Linked DNA regions of Saccharomyces cerevisiae S288C. Changing the gene in region 1 together with any one later gene gives a genetic interaction. Each region holds a gene or a part of one and is shown on either strand. Other genes may lie near its edges. The genes, in order: BAS1, UBR2, VIP1 and IPK1.

Region 1 (4,534 bases):
CAAACAGAACTCTTCATGGATGATGGGTTTTAAAAAATTAGTCAAGACATAATTCTTAAAGTTCATAGTCTCATTTTTCATTTTCTTTTTGCCTGCTTTCTCTTTTATACATCGCCGCATAATTTACTAAACGCCCTTTGTGTTTGTGGGCGGAAAGAAATATATTCCCTTAAAATTTCCAGGAAATTATGTTGCTACAATGACTTATAAAGGGAAAAAATAAGAAGAGAAATCTTGGAAGAATACCCTAGTAAAATAGTGTACAAGGCAAAGTTCTTAATTATGCAAAATCGCCGTATATGAAATAGAACAACTTTTTATACAGCTTAAATACAGAATTCAAGTATGTTAATCAACATGAAAGAAAAAAAAAAAAAAATGCGAGTCATGAAACTACACGTTTTTTTCAGAGAATATTATCCATCTTGTGCTATGTATAATATACACTTATGCTTATTACAAAACTAATATGTTAAACAATTGAAAGATTTGTGTTTTTTTTCGGCCTTGCCTTCTCAACTAGGATTCAGTGGCAGGACTGACCCATTATCGGTAGAACCTCCTGACGTCATATCATGCTCGCTCGTCTTCTTAGCCTCATTATGCAGTGTATCTGCCTTTTTATCCAACAGTTCGTTAAAAAAATCGTATCCTCCGCTATGGGAACCTAGGCTGCTATCTTCTGTATGTGAGCCAATCCCTTGATGTACCACTTGAGGCTTGGCACCATCATTTTCAGCTGACTTTTCAACTGGAGGATTTGGATTCGTAGTAGCCAAGGATCTTAACGTTTCCCAAAAATCCAGGCCGTCTTCATCTCTCAATGGAGTATCAGATCTGGATGTAGTCCTTGATATCTCCGACTGATCAATGTGATTGAATTTATTGGTTGTCACAGATGATGAAGAATGATGCTGAGATGATTCACTTTTTCTTTTTTCTTTTTTCTTAGTTTTACTGCCGTTACTTCTTACTGAATTTGGAGATGGATTGAGTAACTTATTCAAGTCAGCACCTCTTGTCGCATCTGATGAGCCTAAATGAGGCCGTATAGTTGGTGGCAAATAGTTGAAATGCGCTATTCTATTAGGACCTACATCAGGTGGCATTTCTGAACCGCTCGTTGTATATGATGCCGTCGAACTTGGTGCCTTGCCATTTGTTCCATTGAAATTCGGTGACATACTATTAGCACTAACGTTTCCTTGAATGATTTCATTATTTGTAGCGGTAGAATTAGTTGGGATCAATGTATTTGCTTGAGGATAAAATACAGACGGGCTGTTTGTTTCTCTATTGCTTTGTGAACCAAGTTCATTTGCATTGTCAGCGGGATTGTGTGAAGTTGCTTCCAAGCTGAATGCGTTATAGTTGGGTGTTCTTGATAAAAAATCGCTATCCATGTTGTCCAGAGAAGTCCTATATTCTGGGTTAAAAGTGTCACTATTTGAATTTAACCCTGGAAGACCATTTCCCAGTTGTCTACCCATATGTGGGAAACTATCCATTAATAGAGGGTTTCCATTTATATTTCCTATATTTGACAATCCAGTATTGCTGCTGACAGGATGGTCTGTGGATGTAACATAATGATTGTGAATATGTTGATGTATCGAAATTTTTAAAGAGTACTTCTTAGCTTGGTCAACCAATTCTTTTACTAATTTTGTGCTGTCAATAGTTCCGTTAGAAATTGACAAACCTTGACCATCTTTTAATGTAAATTTCCATTGTGTGCTAGAGGAATTTGGTTCTCTAGTTTTCACAGTAGAATAAGCATGCTTCGGAGAATCTGAAATACTATTACTATTCATCATATGCTCATCGAGAGATGCTGGATTGAATGCTGGGGGAAGGCTTGTCTGTGGGCTATCTGAGATTCCTCCAGGACTTTGCTTGTTCATTTGAGAAAGACCTTCAATTGGTAAAGATACTTTGCTCCTAATGCTACCACTGGTATGAGTCTGACCGACTTGCGTCATCCTGATTGGTGGAGGTGCAGATATCTCTTTTAAGGGAGGTAATGCTTGTGGCTTGCTGTCATTTAAAATGGGTCCATCATTATCCTTTAATCTTGGTAGTTTGCTCGATTCGTTCTCTTTAACATTCAATATATCCTGCTTTATCAATGAAGGGTTGTTCTGTTGAGATAGCTGCAACTGTTCTTCTTTATTCGGTGTAGAATCTGAGCGTATATCAGAATCGGCGATTGGATGTTGTCGGAGTTTTCCGTCTGTCATGTCTATGTTCTTGTTTTCTTTTATAGCCTTTGTTATTACTTCTGATGCTTGTCCTCGCACAACCATAGTAATAATTTTCCGCCATCTGTTCCTGCACGTTAAACTTGGTCTGAATTCCATTTCCGACGAAATCTTTCTCCATTTCGTGCCGTATGCCTTCACTTTACTTATCAGATTTAAATCTTCCTCGAGCGTCCATTCTCTTAATCTACCTTTACTTCCAGGTCCCAACACTTCAATGTACCTTTTCGCACATTGATCCTCTGTTCTTCCAGGGATATCCATGGAGATACTCAGCCAGTGAGGCCCATGTTCTTCATAAGCTTTCAAGAGCTGCTCATCCTCTTCTTGTGTCCATTTACCTTTCTTCAAGTTTGGGTCCAGAGATCCTGTCCAACGCTTTCTTACATCCTTTGAAGTTCTTACGGTGTGTTTGAATCGTGTAGCTAAAACATCCCAAGCAATACATTTAGAAAGATGGTTGGATTGTTGAATTGTTTTTACGTCTTCAAGTCCATTCTCATAGCCTAACTCCTTTGCGGATTCGTTTACTAGCGATCGTAGCATATTATCGTCGTCCTTTGACCATGAATTTCTTCCATTTTTCCTGTGTGTCTGATAGCCAAGTGATTCAGTCACTTCAAGTAAATCGAAGCCGGATCCTCTTTTTGGCTTACTTTTTCGTATATCTTTGGTACTTATATTCGACATTCTCGATAAAATGTATTCTGCGATAAAAAAAAAAGAGCAAAAACGCTACAACAAAAGTTTTAAACAAAACTAATTTTGTTTACCCCACTAGAGATCAACAATTGTTGCAGAGAACGATTCAAATCAGCAAACCGGATTATCAGAAAGCAAATAATTAAACACAAAAAACGTACACTAGTCCTTTATAGTAAACTAATAAGAAAAATTTCTTATTATATAAATATAGCTGGTTAATTTCGATTGCTTTAAAGTTTCCTGGGGCTTTATTCTGTGACTGGACCCTATTTCTTCTAAAGGTCTTAACATAATTACTCATTCTCATTTTTTATTTTTTTCTTCGTCTGGCTCATCGCATTGTTCGGACCAAAAAAAAAAAAAAAAAGAAAAAAAGAAAAAAAAAAATAGTTTCTCCGTTGCACATCGTCAAAGGTGATTTCCCCACATCTATTATAAAGTTTTTCCGGAGTGCTTAAAAAAGGGATTGACATTTCTTCGAGAATTAGTTGAGAAACCCTTTTAGATTGTGCGCTGAGTAATCATTAGGTTGATTATAAGCTCTGAAAGGTTACTGCTACTGCTAGTAGTCTTTCAGGATCTTCAGTAAACTAAATAACCGTGGCATTGATCTTACTTTCCGTTTTCTTTTCGCTAAATCGGAAGTCATAAAGACAATGTTATTAAACCCAGATCAAATTCTAAACCTAGTTCGAAAAGTATATGAAGTAGATATTAAACAGTTTTATTCGCAATTACGGCTAAAGAACTTAAGAGGATTGTTAGACCATGCTGCTCATCTGTTTAATGTTTACCTGAGGGATTTAGAAATCAATCAGGAAATGGAAGCTTTGACAGCATTTATTATTGGTTGTTATTATCTGTACCTTATTATTCCACAATCGTTACAATTCCAAACAAGAAATAATCTCTACAGCAGTTACGCAAAGCTAAAAAACGACTATCAAGACGAACACGTGATGGGTTATGTGTTAAAAGTGGTAAGAGATGAAAGTACTGTTATTGTTGACCGGTATTTAGCGGAGTCAAACGGAATTTGCAGGACCATAAAAAGAAAAAGAGCCTACTCCTTACCGCTACGGCCTTTACCTGTTCATATGGCCTCTTTGTCAATACATAACAAGTTTGATGGCTCACTACATGAAATACCGAATGAGCTAACAAAACCAACAAATGATAATTCGAAAGAGGACATAGTCAGGGAAAGTAATCAGATAGCATCAAGTAATAAATTGGAAGCTGGTTCTGAAGTGGCGTACTACACAAGCAAAGAAGCATTATCAAAACCCTCGTATTTAAAACTCAGTACTGGAAAGGATGCATTATTCAAAACGCTGTCTAGTCCAGCAACTGCTCCCCCCGTGCACTCCTTGGAGGTTTCGTCACAAATCAGAGATTCTAGCCAAGATTCTTCATCCTCTTTATCCAAGGTGGAAAAGCCAAAGGAGGAAGAAGGAAAGATCGAGGCCATAGAATCTTCGGCCCCGAAAGCTTACAATCTACCAGTAATTGAAGATTCTAATGATCTGTTATCAGAGTTATCTATTACTGGCCTGCAAAATCCATGC
Region 2 (7,838 bases), on another chromosome or scaffold:
GGCTAAACTTTACCAGACGACAAAACAAGTGTAGAATTTGAATCAACTGTGTCCTAAAGAAAAAATAATGTCCAAAAACTCTTATTATAAAACGAGTAAACCACCACTTCGCTCGAATCGCCAAGCTTTCTAGATGTACACCCACGCTGTGTCACCTTATGACTATATACCTTATCCATCAACACTTTCTCCATTTCCTGCAGGGTAAAAAGAAAAGTGAAGTCACCCTGCACTATACGAGCTTCAGCCCATACCCCACACTAAAACATTTCTTTTTCTGCGGCATTTCTTTTTTTTTCGGTCCGTCCCTGTCCCTTCCCACGAGAAAGCGTAATGATCCTCGACCCTACCCCACTTCCCCACGCCAATTAAAACAGATAAAATTTCTTTTGATTTTTCGGATACGCTAATTTCGTAGCAATTTTGAATGACTAGACATTTGTTGGATAACTACATAGTCTCCCACCCACCAAGATCTGCACTGCCGTCCGTTAGTCGGAACACTATGTGCGGAATCATGTTGCCAAAAACAATCTCATTCGCTAGATTCGCGTATCTCGCCCGATTCAAATAGACGGGAGTACCGAATTTGTAGTCTTCGTTGGTCTCTCCGTATTTACTTAGATAAGGTGCAGCATAAAATGTACCTCTTTTGCCGTATGACAGATATATCGCATTTGTGCCGGTCATTAAGAAAACTCCGTAAGCGGAGGTGATTTCGCATCCATTTCTCATATGATCAGTACATTCCCCCTGTAAATAACCTTGCAGTGCTATGCTTTTTTGAATATGGCATTTTTGGCCACACAACAAGCATACTGCGATTTCGTATTTATCACATTTATTCGATATTTCATCATTATCAAGGGAAAATTTGGAAAGGTTCAATGGTAGTTCGATAAGCTGGATATGCTCTGGTGAAGGATATGCTCTTGTGTTTATGTTCTGCACCATGTCATATATTACTTGCTGAATTCTCAAATTATCATTACCATCATTATACCTTTCTATATTTTGTGTTAGTTCGTTGTAGAAAAAATCCTTCAAAAAGTGAGTTAAATTGGGTAATTTAAAATACCGGAAAATAAGCTCTATTTCACGCTGTTTGACGTCCATGAAATTATTGCTGCGGTTATTATTATTATCACCATCACCATCATCATCATACTGAATGTTGAATAATAAGAAGGTTCTTCTACAAAAAATGGACAATGACTCTAGTAATAGAGAGCATATAAAGTCTTTAATTTTCTCTAAACTTGTAAAATCAAACCGAACGTCGTCTGGTTTAAAGAGATCAACATACTTTTTAAAAGTATTGAATAGATATGAAAAGCTTGTCGATGGTTCCTCAGATCCGTTTGATGATATTTTGATTTTATTTCGACAGTCTTTGTAAAAGTTTACTCTCATCATATCTCTTGCAAGCAACAGTAGTAGTTGATGGAACCTTCTTTTGAACATTTCATAGATACATAGGTTAGGCGGTTGCGGGGTTTTTCCTCCATCAATATTATCAAAATTTTGACTCATATACAAAAGTAGATTCACATTATTACCCTTTATTAGAAACTCATTCCAATTCCATATTTTACGAGAGATTTCGCTGCTGAATGTTTTTGAATTAACAAATTTTTTGTAAATAAACGACTTTAGCTCACAAACTAAATGTAAGGTTAAAATGCACTGACTGGATATTCTTTCCATATTCACTATTTTTCCTTCCTTTTTGTGCGATCTTAATCTGAGCTCAGTATTTGAAATAGTATTAATAAAAACACTATTAACAACTTTATATGCATCTTCGATAGTCGTGACTTTTTTACCCTGAAGATCACCTAGAATCATCGCTGCTTTAATACAAATAGAGCTCATTGGGTCAAGGTTTTCTTCCGCTTCACTTCGCTTTTCAATACACATAAAAAACTGGCTCGAAGTTCTCTTATCTATATCATTTGTTTTTGGTAGAAATGAATTACTTAAGGAATTGCATACGGGACAATATATCAACCCTGAACCATACGATAATGGAATATTTTTTGTAGTTTGGTTTTGTATTCCGCGAATCGACTTCATATGGCCACTTAAACATTTGGTATGAGACCCATGCCCGCATGCTCTTAATACTGGTTCACAGCTAGTAAATTTCAATCTCGTTCCATCATCATCCTGGGGGTTTTCTTGGATTGCACTGTCTTTTGTTTGCTTACCACTGAACAGCGAATTTATTCTATTAACATCTGTAGGATTCGTAAAATCAATTCCATGATCACATATGTTCCGTTCTTGGTATGAAAAATAAACAAATACATCGTCATCCTTCGGCATCTTGCAAAATACGCAATCATCATCGCAGCAACTGTTGATTGTGTTACTACTATTCTCTGCATTTATTCTAGTGGGAGATAAACTAGGTGATGTGGTTCTGGGTGTACTAATATCGGAAGTATCTACACTATTGTTTTCCATGAATTTCATTTGCTGTTGAGCCAACTTCTTCATTAATTTTTTCTTTCTCAATCGAGCAAGATGTTTTTTCCTTTCAAATTCTTTATCCTTGTGGCTTTTATCTTCCTTTGTAGGCCACAATATTCCTGGTGTATATGACGTGGTTTGCTCCCTCAAATAACTGTTTACATTTACGTGAGGCGCTGTTTCCATTAAATACCTGAAAATTTCCCTAATCTTACCATGAGATTCCGAAAAATTATCCTTCAACAAACAGTAATACAGGATAGAACCAATGCTGTGGTAATGACAGAATTCTGTGTCCACAATTGCGTATTCATGCCACAGTATCCCCATAAATTCATTCAGATTATTAACCACGCATAAATGAATCAAATGAACCACTCTCGGCAATAAATTGTCATAATCATATTTTATAATGTGATCTAAAGTATTTTTCAAAAATAAACCAAAAGTATTCACTGATGATATTGAATACAGCCCAGAAAATAATGTATTCTTCAACAAATCTTTAACCTTTTTTGCTGGTACAAAAGTATCTTCATATTTCATTTTCTTCAAATTTGCCATATTCAGCCTGATATTTTTCTCTACATCATACCTCCTACTGGAAGACAACCCTATATAATAAGGATCAATCTCATCTTTATACTTTTCTTTCAACACGAAAATGCCATTGTCAGTCAAGCTTACAGGAGAAGTGTAATTGGCGTATTTTTCGAGATATATATCAAATGAAGGGTGCTTGGTGATATGTTCTGGAATACAGTTAACAATTTGTGCGTAAGAGCATGTATCAAAGCAAAGGGCATGAATTATTTCTGATTTGAACGTTCTCTCGAAGCCTTCCTTTGATGATTTCATGACCAATGATCTCACTTCAGTAAGCAATTGAATCAATAACAGAATGCATTCATTAACAACGGCTACAGTTGTTTCTGTATCAGGATAATCATACATAGGTACACCATTTGCCCAGTGCTTCAAACCCCACCTTGAGAGGTAAGTAACCATCAGTTCATCAGGATTGCACATTGCCATACTAAATTGCACATTGAAAATGTCACTAATATAAGTAAATTCTCGCATACTGTATTTTGTATACATCCGGGCCTGGTGAGTAATTGGAGTTCCGTTTCTTACCCAGAAACCGACGTTTATTTGCCCGATTAGGACTAGGGTTGACAAAGCAGATTCTGATATATATAAAGCCTTCTGCTTATCTTGAAAAACTTCGAAGAGATTAATGTAGTTTGTCAAAGAAGCAGGAATTGGCTCATATCTACCACATTGACTCCATTGAATAACAAATTTGAACAAATATGACATTGGATTGAAAAAATACTGTGTATTTACACCTACCTGGAAATTAATAGTCTCTGCGACATAATTGCATATCGTCTCTCTGACTGTAGACAAAGTCGCTTTGTTCGAATCATTTTCATTCGTTGATGCGTTATCAGGTGATATAGCTTTTCTAGAATTGGTTAGTGATTCAAATTCCCTGGTTTGAGCAACATCAAGTAGTTTAAGGACGATTTGCTTACGGAAAGCCGCATCTTTGACCAAAGATATACTACGTGTGTATCCATCTGTCATTATTAGTATTGATGAGAAAAAAAAATAAAATGCAGAAAAATCAAAGTTTTCAACCTCCACGTGTTCTTTAGTTTCCCTTTTCAATGGCAGCACGTTACTGAATTCAGAGAAGGACTCAATTATTGCGTTAAAAATTGCCTCATTTGAAAGTAGTTCTTCCGGAACAGTGTTCGCTGACATTATCGTACAAAGGTCTTTAAAGCAAATAATTGTCCTTCGATTTCGTATTGTTTCGGTGGGCAACTTAAAGCCATTGTATAAAGAGATGGGCAAATATGACATCAAGTCTTCTGGATTGAATGCCATGAGAGTAAAAGCAAATCTAATAGTTCGTTCAATGAATCCCGAGCTTATAGTCATATTTGCTATGCTGGGGTCTTGGAAAGTGTATTGCCCTAATATACTCATAAGAGTTACCTGACATTCTTTAGCATCTGATGCAACTGCATCATACAAGACCGATAGATAAACATCAATATATTGTGCGGCAAGAAACTTTCTGCTTTCATCCCTTAACGAGAATAATGACGCCATGATCTTTAACATTTTGAATTTAGATTTTTTTGAGAGGATATTAATAGAATTGATGATAATATATTGGAATCTAGATCCATAGAAATTGTAGAAATGGCTTACTGTGTTCGGCGAATGGGCTCTGATCAACCTTTCATTGTAATTAGTGAGTATTTTTGAAATTCTTTCGTCTTCAATGTTCTCTAATGACCAAGGTTTAAACCATGATTCATCACTATCTTCGTTAGATATTAAGAATCCACCTAATAAGTTAATCTTAGAAAAGTCAGGATTGGTATTTGTGGGAGATACTCTCATTTTAGAAAAATGGGAATACCAAACATCTAGCATGGAAATTCTAAGAGCATATTTATTTTGCAAAGACGTGGCCGCCTTAAAGCACAGAGAATATAACCAATCTGTTAAATCATCTGTTAACTTTCTCTTGAATATATCATCCGCTTTTCTTACATGAACTACTATGTTTTCCTTTTGAAACTCCTTGGCTATTTGATCTATTTCGAAAAAATTCTCACTTTGTAGCACAGTCACTACATCGTGTGAATCTTCTAAAGCCTTCGTTATTGAGATTGCATATTCAACCGGTGTATTCAAAATTCTTGTTATTGTAGATGCTAAATCCATGTAGTGTACGTTACACTCTTCTTCTTCGATTTGAATAGCCCACTCCATATGTGCTTCTTTTCTCGTATTGGACCAATTGTTATCAAAGAAAACAAAATTTTCATCATTGACCAATGGTTCACATTCGTGTTTTTCCATTATATCATCAGTAATGCTGTTTTGATTAGGATGCATTAGGGAGGATGCTTTTCTCTCGCTTGAATGGGCTTCTGCCTCCTCTTTGTATGAAACAGTTACATCAATTAAAAAATCCAGAACATAATTCAATAGGGAGATTACGTTTTCATCATCGGTTACGTTACTATTGTCGTTAGAAATAGGAATATTATTTAATTCGTTCTTGCACTTGAACGCGTCGCTTGGGTCATTAAAGGCAAAGGGGTCACCACAATGGCATATTCTGCCTTCTGGGCGCATTACCACTTTAGCAACATAAGAATGATTTACATGTTTTTCTTTATCGAAACAAAGCTCACATATTTCATACAATGGATTTGTGGAGCACGTAAAACAGTAATAAATTGTCTCAGAGGGGAAGCATAAACGCGTACACGCTGTTCCAATATGCATATTACCCACAGAGTGGTGGTCATTCTCGAACTCCAGGGTCCTCCACTTTCTTCCATTTAGTATGTCTCTGTACTTTTCGTTTTCCCAGGCTTCAGAATTGAGTATTGAAACGAGAGAGCGCCAGTTTATATCGTTATCACTATGCTTAAGGCGTAGATTTAAGGTTTTCCATAGTAAATAACTAGTGGTTTCGCTATATTCGCATTTCGCGAGTTTGGGGAGCTCGGTAAGAAAATCTCTTATATTGGTTATAGACAGGTCAGAATCTTCCATGCGTGCTTGTTAAGTAGCTATTAATTTAGTTAACGAATCTTACCTTTACTATCAGAGACGAGTAAATGATAATAATTAGAAAAAAAAGCCGGCTCTTTTTTTTAAAAAGCTTGAGCAACTTTTTTTTTTTATAGAGTTGTTAGTAATATGCCAAGCAATTGAAAGTATGAATGCGTTGATTATTGGGTTTCTCCCCACAGCTGTACATTGACGATGCTCTTTATTGATATCGCCTAAAAGTTCAACAAACGCCACTGGAAATTGCCGCCGTTGTCACCACAACGTGATAAGTGATGGTGTGCTTTTTGCACATCTAGTGAAGAAACGGGCAATTAGGATCTAGGACCAGTAACACTTGCCCCGCAAATATTATAACATGGGCCTTATGATTGCTCGGTTTGTTACATCTAACATCCTAAGAAGTGAGTGGCATGAATACGTAGCTATATGTAGATTGAAAATTGATGAGTCGAGTCATCACCTTCCTCTAAACGGGGGATAAATTTTGGCGGTATTTTCCCTAATTTTATTCTTCGTTATGTCAGCCATGTGAGACTAATTAATTCAAGTTTTGACTTACAATTGCGGCTTCGTCGGAAATCAGTATTACGTATAAACTGTGTACCATAAAATTGGCGTACTCGGTATTGTTTATACTAAGCCGGCCATTCTAGTGATTTCGCCTCTATAAATGGTTGTTATTCGAGTATAATATTTCAACCGCATCAAAGAAAGAGGTAGATAGCTTGCGTTCAACACCGTTCTTTTCTTTCCCCCTTAATTTAGCGCTTGGCGGTTATGCTATGGTGACAGTTAACTTTTTTAATTATAGGATGACTTGTCATATTGTTATATGCCGCATACTTATGTAAAGTAGTTATTGAGGTGGGGGTGAGCAGAGTAACGACAACGATGGAGTTCCGTAACTAACCAATGCTTAATGTTGGTAAGTAATAGCAAATATATATACTACATAGCTTTTGTTATATGCATCATTTTATACGATTCATGTTCGACCCTTTTGATAAAAGATGGGATTTTTAAATAAGTCGGTGGGTGATTTCGAATCATGAATAGTTGGCAGAGCAGGGGAAGTACGAGCTTCTAAAGGGTAAGATATTGTATTTCGGACGGAAGCAGCAGAAACATAACAGTATTGATAAATAAGGCATGTGGTCATCACTTTTTGGTTGGACATCAAGTAATGCCAAGAATAAAGAGTCACCAACAAAGGCCATAGTGCGGTTGAGGGAGCATATCAACCTTCTATCCAAAAAGCAATCGCATTTACGTACTCAAATTACAAATCAAGAGAATGAAGCTAGAATCTTTTTGACGAAGGGCAATAAAGTAATGGCGAAGAATGCACTTAAAAAGAAGAAGACAATCGAACAACTTTTAAGTAAGGTAGAAGGCACAATGGAGTCTATGGAACAGCAGCTATTCTCTATAGAAAGTGCAAACTTAAATCTAGAGACAATGAGGGCTATGCAGGAAGGTGCTAAGGCAATGAAAACTATTCACAGTGGCCTTGACATAGATAAAGTGGATGAAACTATGGACGAGATAAGGGAGCAAGTCGAATTAGGAGATGAAATAAGCGACGCTATATCCAGGCCTTTAATTACTGGGGCAAACGAGGTGGATGAAGATGAGCTGGACGAGGAATTGGACATGCTGGCTCAAGAAAATGCTAACCAAGAAACGTCCAAGATCGTTAATAATAATGTTAATGCGGCGCCTATCTCAGAGAACAAAGTCTCACTACC
Region 3 (5,565 bases), on another chromosome or scaffold:
ATGTGGATTTTGATGTAATTGTTGGGATTCCATTTTTAATAAGGCAATAATATTAGGTATGTAGATATACTAGAAGTTCTCCTCGAGGATTTAGGAATCCATAAAAGGGAATCTGCAATTCTACACAATTCTATAAATATTATTATCATCATTTTATATGTTAATATTCATTGATCCTATTACATTATCAATCCTTGCGTTTCAGCTTCCACTAATTTAGATGACTATTTCTCATCATTTGCGTCATCTTCTAACACCGTATATGATAATATACTAGTAACGTAAATACTAGTTAGTAGATGATAGTTGATTTTTATTCCAACAAGAAGGTTGCTCTTTATATAGGTATATGTCACTAATTAATGTGCTCTGACGCATATCCTTATGGCGCTAATTTGCTCGTCTAAGGGTTCAACGAAAACTCCGGACCTAAAGATCGCGAGCAAAATTCAATTAAGTTTTTTTTTTTTAAAAAAAAGTTGAGTAAATACTTATTTAGTTTTGGGTTACTAAATTAAAAATTGGGTGTGATCACTAATCTAATGTCTTGTTAACGGAGGTAGATGATGAAGATCCGGACGAGGCAGGACGTTTCAACTTCTCAACAGATACCGACTTTCTTCTGGTTTTGCGTTTCTGGAAACTCAAGTTGGGGCTCGTAATGTTTACTGGTGTAAATTTCGGAGGCATAATGACCCTGGTAAATTTGTTTCTCAATTTCTGTTGAACATAGTCCATATCCAAATGCTTCGTCAGGGAAATCTTTGGAATACAACTAATATAATGCCTGTCATCTAATTGAACATCTAACGGATCTTGAGTATGACACCCAGGAGACATTTTTAGTCTAATGGAATGCGATTTTTGACCAGAAGCATCCGTACTCTCATAAAGTTCAAAAGTGATCTGCGACAAGTAGTCTAGTTCTGGTAAAGCATTTCTAGCGATTCTCATTGGAATACCAGATTCGTATATGATATTCAATAGAGTGTAAATATGGGACTCTTTGGTGAAGTACGCAACACAAGCTGGAGTTTCTCTATTTTTCATGTCTCCTATATCATTTAGTATTTGCTTTGCCAAAGGCAACGAAGTTAACAAACCGATATCCAGTTTCTCTGCATCTGAAATACCATATTCTTTGGGGCAGATAAAATCAAACAATACTTTGGCCAGCTTATACAGCTCCCGCAACTGCATAAAGCGTGGCTCATCGAATTGAGAAGAAGATTTGGGGTTTCTTGCTGTAGATGTTTTTCCGCTTTCCAGAACCCATCCTAACGACCCAACACTATTACTACTGTTCTTTCCAGAATTGTTCATGCTATGACTGTCTATTATCTTAAAATTATTTTTGGCGAGAACGTTAATTGGGTATCGGTCAACTAAAGAATGACTGCCGAGTTCATCGGCGATAGCTTCATTTGGAAGACCCGGGTCAAATATGTTCTCTAGGAACTGCCTGTTGTGAAGAGCATCATACTTCATAGTATCATACAATTCAGAAATTTTAGAAGGATCGACTTTTTCAGCATTATTGAATTCTTTGAAAAGTTTATCCCACCTTTCCTTAAACAAACTAGGATCTTCAGAAGTACACCATCTTGTTTGCATCGAGTTGACATCCTTTTTAGCAAAGTTGTTATCCATAATTTTTTTATGGTAATTCATCAATTCAACCACTCGCTTTATGACTAAATATGGCTCCGGCATCTTTGAAGGCCAGGCAAATTGTGGGGGAGCTTCCTTACCCTCTCTTAAAAGTGGCTTCAACTTCTTTTTCACCTTATCCATTAAATCTTTGGCGGCATTACTGTCATCTAAAAGATCCTTTCTAATACTGATTTCATCGCTACCTAATTCATCGGCCCCAAAAAGAGCTCTGGTCCAGTACTGCGCCGTATGAAGAACACGTCTCTCAGACGATGAAAATATCTTGATGTTTTGTAGAATGCTCTTATTCAATAGGTCAAAATCTTGTCTCATTTGCTCTCCGAGTTCCGTAGCCTGATATTTGGCAGAATGAGTGGGTTCACCACCCCATTTCAAAATAAACTGAACTTTTTCCACTTCGTTCTCTTTATTTAAAACCGGTTTCAATTGTATTTTCGTACCGGGAAAATTCAGTTTCTTTTCTAGAGCGTTTGCTAACACTTTAATTTTAGCTGGATTTCCTGCTTTTTCATCTAACGCAATTCTTAAGGCCTGAAGAACAATCTTTAAATCATTTACATTCCGAATGACAACTTCTTCTTTGTGACCTTTTAGTAACGATATAAAAATAGGCGAAGTGAATGAATGTTTGAATTTCTGTTTTGGTGTTCTGTCCGCGTGACGGATAATGATAGCCAGTCCTTTGAATACCCACTTTTGTTCCTTTTCTTCACGAATAATGGGCAGATTCTTCTTTTCCATATCCATCTTCTTTTTGGCTTCAATGAAGGTACTTCTCAATATATTGGCGCATGAATCATAGTAAGCTTTGTTATCCTTTACAAAAGAAAATCCGTTAACATCAATGACGTAACTTTTACCAGAAACGCGAAGCAAATCGAAACCACAGATCATTTGTGAAAAAGCTTTGGAAACTTTCCCAGCAATGGTTTTCTCTTCGTCTGATAACTCAGTAATATATCTAACTTCTTTACCATGAGTATTTCTTCTAACTATACCATCAACCACAGGTGATTTCCTAGTTTCAGCGTGACAAAAGTTCTCACCAATCGTATAAGCCTTCACATCTTCGAAATTATCGGTATCCATAAACTGCTCATAAATGTAAGACCCCTCCGTACGAGGATGAACCAAAGTAGGATCAAACTCAGAAGACTTGTTACCAACTTTACGGAATAGACGACGACCGCCTCCTCCGTTCTTAGAATGATAGTATATATAAATGTTGTGGTCTTCACCATCAACGGGCTTTTCAACAAAGGGCTTAGTCATGGTTTTCCCATCAACTTCTAAAGTATCATCATCAACCATTTTCCATTCCGGTTCTTCAACGGGTTTAACTTCTACGCCATGCTCACGTAATTTTGCCCTTAATTCTTCGTTGGCACGGGGACCACCATCTCTACTGATTTCCAGTCTAGGAGGTGTTGGAACGTTGTAGGCTTCTAATACTTGTAGACATAATCTCCTGTCCCACAAAATCTTTTGCATTATTAAATCATTGATAATGAAAGGCTTGCGTAACTTGACGTATTTAATTGCTTTATCTAGGGGAAATCCTGAAGAAAAGAAAGATATCAAAAAGTCGCAAGTTGGCCAATTCTCTATTCTTTCATCTAGAATCACCTTATCTCCAAAAATGACAGTTTCAAATTCACCATGTTCAATTAAACGATTCAAAATGTGTCTCATTGGCTTTGAAAGGACTTTTGCATCCATTGCACATACCCCAATCTTCCCTACCTTGGGTAGCCTAGGTTTGGGATGACTAGTCGAGGATTTGCGTGAAGAAGCTGATGAAGTAGGTACAGAGTTAGTTCCCATGTTAGTCTGCTCAGCGTCCATTGTTCCTTGAGGTAAATGGGGCGATCCGGTCTTGGAGATGGAATTTATGTTATCTGCATCATTGACTATGTTAGAATTGCTGAGCCCCTCAGGATCAGCTTCTGACTTTGATTCACTGTCTGCCTTTTTTAAACCGGAAGTTGTAACTGTATTGGTGTTGTTTCCGTTTCCTAGTGCAGTGCTTATGGTTCTTTGCAGAGTATCATGCACGGTGAGATTCTCTTCACTGTGATCATCTTGAATACCGGGAGGTGGCAATTTCAAAGACATATTTTCGCTAGCTGACGTCTTAGGACTGAAACCCTCCAATATTGGTGCAATAGATTGCATAGCCTTCTGTGTGTTTTTGTTTAGGAAAAGGGGTGACATCTCAGAAGGTGCACTAGGTAAGTTATTTTTTGTCTCTTGTTGAGGAACCTCATCAGATTCAATCGGTTCCTTCTTTATCCCACTCATGACCTTCTGCAATATATTAATATGCTACGAGATGCTTTTGAATTTGTATGAAATGCTCAGTGGGTAATTTAAGTGGTGAACATATTGATTCAATGATTAATTGCATTTTTCCTATCTTAAATAAATGATTTTCTAAAAACATTTTTGAGCACGTGCTTTTTTTTTTTTAACTGAAAAATTTTGAGAAAAATTTCGCGATGAGATTGCTAATGAAATTTAATAAGTCCTAAGCACAATAAATATACAGCGAAACAGCAGCAAGGAATAAGACACTGAAAAGGCTATAGCGAGTTAGGAATAGTACATTATGTCTATCGACTTGAAAAAAAGAAAAGTCGAAGAAGACGTAAGAAGTAGAGGGAAAAATTCTAAGATATTTTCCCCTTTCCGGATTATTGGTAATGTTAGCAATGGTGTTCCTTTTGCTACTGGTACATTGGGATCTACCTTTTACATTGTAACGTGTGTTGGTAAAACATTTCAGATATATGATGCGAATACCTTACATTTACTTTTTGTTTCCGAGAAAGAAACACCATCCTCAATTGTAGCATTATCAGCACACTTTCACTACGTCTACGCAGCATATGAAAACAAGGTTGGTATTTACAAGAGGGGTATTGAGGAACATTTGCTTGAGCTAGAAACTGATGCAAATGTCGAACATTTGTGCATATTCGGAGATTATCTTTGCGCTTCCACCGACGACAATTCCATCTTTATATACAAGAAGTCCGATCCGCAAGATAAATATCCATCAGAATTCTACACTAAACTTACCGTTACTGAAATTCAAGGTGGCGAAATTGTGTCTTTACAACATTTGGCAACTTATTTGAATAAATTAACTGTCGTTACCAAATCTAACGTTTTACTTTTTAACGTCAGAACCGGGAAGCTTGTATTCACATCAAACGAATTTCCAGACCAAATCACAACTGCTGAACCCGCTCCAGTCCTGGATATTATTGCTCTAGGTACCGTGACCGGTGAGGTTATTATGTTTAATATGAGAAAAGGTAAAAGGATCCGCACAATTAAGATTCCGCAATCAAGAATCTCCTCATTGAGTTTCAGAACCGACGGTTCTTCTCATTTGAGTGTGGGAACGAGCAGTGGTGATCTAATATTTTATGATTTAGATCGCCGTTCAAGAATACACGTTTTGAAGAACATTCATAGAGAATCGTACGGTGGTGTCACTCAGGCTACTTTTTTAAATGGTCAACCCATTATTGTTACATCAGGTGGTGACAATTCCCTGAAGGAGTACGTTTTCGATCCGTCATTATCTCAAGGAAGCGGTGATGTAGTTGTTCAACCGCCAAGATATCTACGTTCCAGAGGGGGTCATTCTCAACCACCTTCATACATTGCGTTTGCTGATTCGCAATCACACTTCATGCTATCAGCATCCAAAGATAGATCATTATGGAGCTTTTCTCTGCGTAAAGATGCACAGTCGCAAGAAATGTCACAAAGGTTACACAAGAAACAAGATGGCGGCAGGGTAGGTGGTAGTACAATTAAGTCTAAATTTCCTGAAATAGTGGCTCTTGCAATTGAAAATGCCAGAATAGGTGAATGGGA
Region 4 (3,143 bases), on another chromosome or scaffold:
AATTGAATGCTTTTTTATTATGCTTTCTTTTGTACTTGCTGACTTTCTCCCTGTCTCTGCGTATATTGCCAAATGTGACAGTTAAGCTTCCATCTAAAGAAACTTCTTCCCAATCAATATCACTTAAATCATCTTCTTCATCCTGGTAAAAACTATCAAAAGAATCATCTGTTTCTTCCTCCTCATAAAACGATACTTCTTTCTTCTCAATCTTTGAGTTTTTTCGATTGGCCTGATCATTTTGGCTTGATTCTAACAGTCTCTTGGCCATTACTTTTCTTCTCACTATTCCTTAAACTCATGTATGCTAGGTTTCAAGGTTTGACCCTTCGTTGAATATCGAATTTGGTCATTCACCCTGGCTTGTGTGTTTTCCGTTTTATTATTTACATTTTCCAGAGGGCCACTAGAAAAAAAAAATACTTATCTATCCATATATTTTACAAATGGTAATGTATGTGCATCTGCCAGTACCAAAGGTGGAAAGAAAAGTATACAGTTTATTTATTTGAAGTATGATAAATTTTTTGGCTTGATGTCAACTGGCTGTAAGTTTTTGTCCAATGGGTCCATTTTTCTTTTGGCTTTAGATCTACATCTATTATATTCACGTGCAACGCATTTTCAGCACTGTTCCATTCAATGAAACATGTCACGTCTCTGAGTGTCATGAGTAGCAGATGCTCATCGTTTACATCGTTGATTGATTTTATGTCACTTATTGGAGTTGTGTTCTTTGTAAGTTTTTTCTGTAAATCATAAAGGATCTTGAAAATGTTATTGTCATTGCGCAAGTACTCATGCATGGCATCTTTAAACTTAACCGGAAATATATTACATTCTCCAAATATTAATTCCAAGTGTGCTGGATTCATTAGTAATTGATTGTAACAGTACTTAGTGCCTCTACCCTTAAATGCATTATGAGTACAGTTCCTACAGTAATCTGTATCATAGTATAACCATTTAGGCTTCAATTCTAAAATAACTGTTTGCAGATTTTGTGAACAATAAGATTTTAAAAAGTGGTTATTTAATATCAGATTTGAGGTATTATTGGTGAGATTTTTAATTTTGATAACTTTGACTACCTTATCGTCTAAATTTAGAATAAAGTCACTGAGAATTGGCCTTATAGCTTCTATATCGACGTCAATCAGATACATCGGGCAAAGCAAGCCATGTAGAAGAGGTTCTACATAATCTTTAATATAACTGATGTTTTTGATTGTATAAGAATTATTTGATGATAACAGATCGGGCCAACGGATGCAGCATCGCCACAACCACGTAGGATCCCCATAATCAATCAGTATATTTGCCCCACCACGTCCGATGACTTGCATCGATCTTTCTTTTCAAAAAAGGAACTTATCTCTGACAATTTTCGACTGGTAGCATATCACGGTTCGAATTAATTTTGGAAACCCTAAATGGGACCGCATCAAAAAAGTACCTTGTGAAAATATCTTCGATAAATAAACCACTGAGGAACGAACAAGAAAACCATAAGTAAGTGAGGATGATCGTATTTCGTCGCTTTCCTACGTGCCTTTTACATCACATTCGACAACCGGCATCCAGGAGTCTTTTGTTGGAATCACAAAGGCGATCATTATCTTTTACATCTTATAAATATAACAGCAGCCACATTGATGATGATAAAAGTAAAAAAAAGCTTAAAAATGTTTTCCAAATGAATAGCAATAGAGTCATTCGTAAGCAAAAAACAAAAGAAGAATTGGCCAAAGAGAGGTTCGAAGAACAACTGAGGTCACCTAATAGATTTGTGAGGTGGGGAGCTATTGCGAGATCAGAAAAGTTTTCAAAGGGAATGACCAAGTACATGATCGGTGCTTATGTGATATTTTTAATCTATGGTCTCTTCTTTACCAAAAAACTGTTTGCGAAAGACAAAGAACTGGAAAGATTGTTGAAGAAACAAGAAGAAGGGAATGCCAATGAATACGAAGCATTAAGGATTAAAGAATTGAAAGGAAAACTAAGGAGGAGAGATGAATTGAAATTAGAAGAATACAAAAAAATGCAAGAAGAAGGCATTGAAAACTTCGATGATATTCGGGTACAGAATTTTGATCAAAACAAATTGAATGAACAAATATTGCCAGCAAGAGACACAACAAACTTTTACCAAGAAAAAGCTAACGAATATGATAAGGCAATTAATATGGAAGAGAGAGTAATATTTCTCGGTAAAAGAAGGAAATGGTTAATGAAACATTGTCAAGGGGATGTTTTGGAAGTTTCATGCGGTACAGGAAGAAATATCAAGTACCTTGATATGTCACGCATCAACTCTATAACATTCTTAGACTCTTCTGAAAATATGATGGAAATTACACATAAAAAATTCCGAGAAAAGTTTCCTAAGTATAAAAAAGTTGCATTTGTTGTTGGAAAGGCGGAAAATCTAGTAGACTTAGCAGAGAAAGGTAAGCCCTCTCTAGAGAATGAAAAGGAAAACCAAGTAAAATATGATACTATCGTGGAGGCGTTTGGTTTGTGTTCCCATGAAGATCCGGTTAAGGCACTTAATAATTTTGGCAAGTTATTAAAGCCAGATGGAAGAATTATTTTACTGGAACATGGTAGAGGTCAATACGATTTTATAAATAAGATATTAGACAACAGAGCTGAAAGAAGACTGAATACTTGGGGCTGTCGATGGAATCTCGACTTAGGCGAAGTGTTAGATGATTCTGACCTAGAATTGGTGGAAGAAAAACGGACTCACTTAGGCACTACTTGGTGTATCGTTGCAAAGAGAAAAGGTGATGTGAAAAAGAAAGACGAGCTTGGGTTTGTAGAAAAATACTTGCAATCAAGTATTAGAAAGAGAATGGAATCATTCGAAAAAAAAGACGATATGGCATCTAAAAAAGAACTTGAGCCAGTACCTCCTGTAAGTAAAAGTTAACATATTTATTCATACCAATGAATTTTATACAGGCTTAGAATCGTGTAAATATTTCAGTAAGCAAGTTAAAATGTGATCTAAAACCCCTTAGGTAGTTCTCCTTACTTCTAAAGTGATCATACTGACCATATGTGACGTAACGACGCTATTATTAACAATCCAAAAATTGCGTCACTGGGAAAAAATAAAAATGCGAACTCTGTGG

Evidence for each region.
Region 2: mutations in BAS1 (region 1) and UBR2 together harm fitness more than expected from each alone (negative genetic interaction), as found in Saccharomyces cerevisiae (2 studies listed by BioGRID).
Region 3: mutations in BAS1 (region 1) and VIP1 together harm fitness more than expected from each alone (negative genetic interaction), as found in Saccharomyces cerevisiae (4 studies listed by BioGRID).
Region 4: mutations in BAS1 (region 1) and IPK1 together harm fitness more than expected from each alone (negative genetic interaction), as found in Saccharomyces cerevisiae (3 studies listed by BioGRID).

Annotation. Positions count from the first base shown.
Region 1 is NC_001143.9:634,268-638,801, reverse strand, and holds BAS1 (Bas1p), read right to left. Parts: upstream 2,952-4,534; coding exon 516-2,951; downstream 1-515. Other genes in the region: ubiquitin-specific protease UBP11, read left to right, coding at 3,623-4,534. UniProt on the Saccharomyces cerevisiae protein: Activates HIS4 transcription only in combination with PHO2/BAS2. BAS1 is also involved in the regulation of the purine biosynthesis pathway.
Region 2 is NC_001144.5:187,213-195,050, forward strand, and holds UBR2 (putative ubiquitin-protein ligase UBR2), read right to left. Parts: upstream 6,070-7,838; coding exon 451-6,069; downstream 1-450. Other genes in the region: ESCRT-III subunit protein SNF7, read left to right, coding at 7,240-7,838. UniProt on the Saccharomyces cerevisiae protein: E3 ubiquitin-protein ligase which probably functions outside the N-end rule pathway, since it lacks the residues essential for the degradation of N-end rule substrates. Mediates RPN4 ubiquitination and subsequent degradation.
Region 3 is NC_001144.5:935,951-941,515, reverse strand, and holds VIP1 (inositol polyphosphate kinase VIP1), read right to left. Parts: upstream 3,976-5,565; coding exon 535-3,975; downstream 1-534. Other genes in the region: YLR410W-A (gag protein), read right to left, coding at 1-33; rRNA-processing protein UTP21, read left to right, coding at 4,283-5,565. UniProt on the Saccharomyces cerevisiae protein: Bifunctional inositol kinase that acts in concert with the IP6K kinases to synthesize the diphosphate group-containing inositol pyrophosphates diphosphoinositol pentakisphosphate, PP-InsP5, and bis-diphosphoinositol tetrakisphosphate, (PP)2-InsP4.
Region 4 is NC_001136.10:1,092,241-1,095,383, forward strand, and holds IPK1 (inositol pentakisphosphate 2-kinase), read right to left. Parts: upstream 1,347-3,143; coding exon 501-1,346; downstream 1-500. Other genes in the region: RAD34 (Rad34p), read right to left, coding at 1-271; OMS1 (putative RNA methyltransferase), read left to right, coding at 1,523-2,938. UniProt on the Saccharomyces cerevisiae protein: Has kinase activity and phosphorylates inositol-1,3,4,5,6-pentakisphosphate (Ins(1,3,4,5,6)P5) to produce 1,2,3,4,5,6-hexakisphosphate (InsP6), also known as phytate.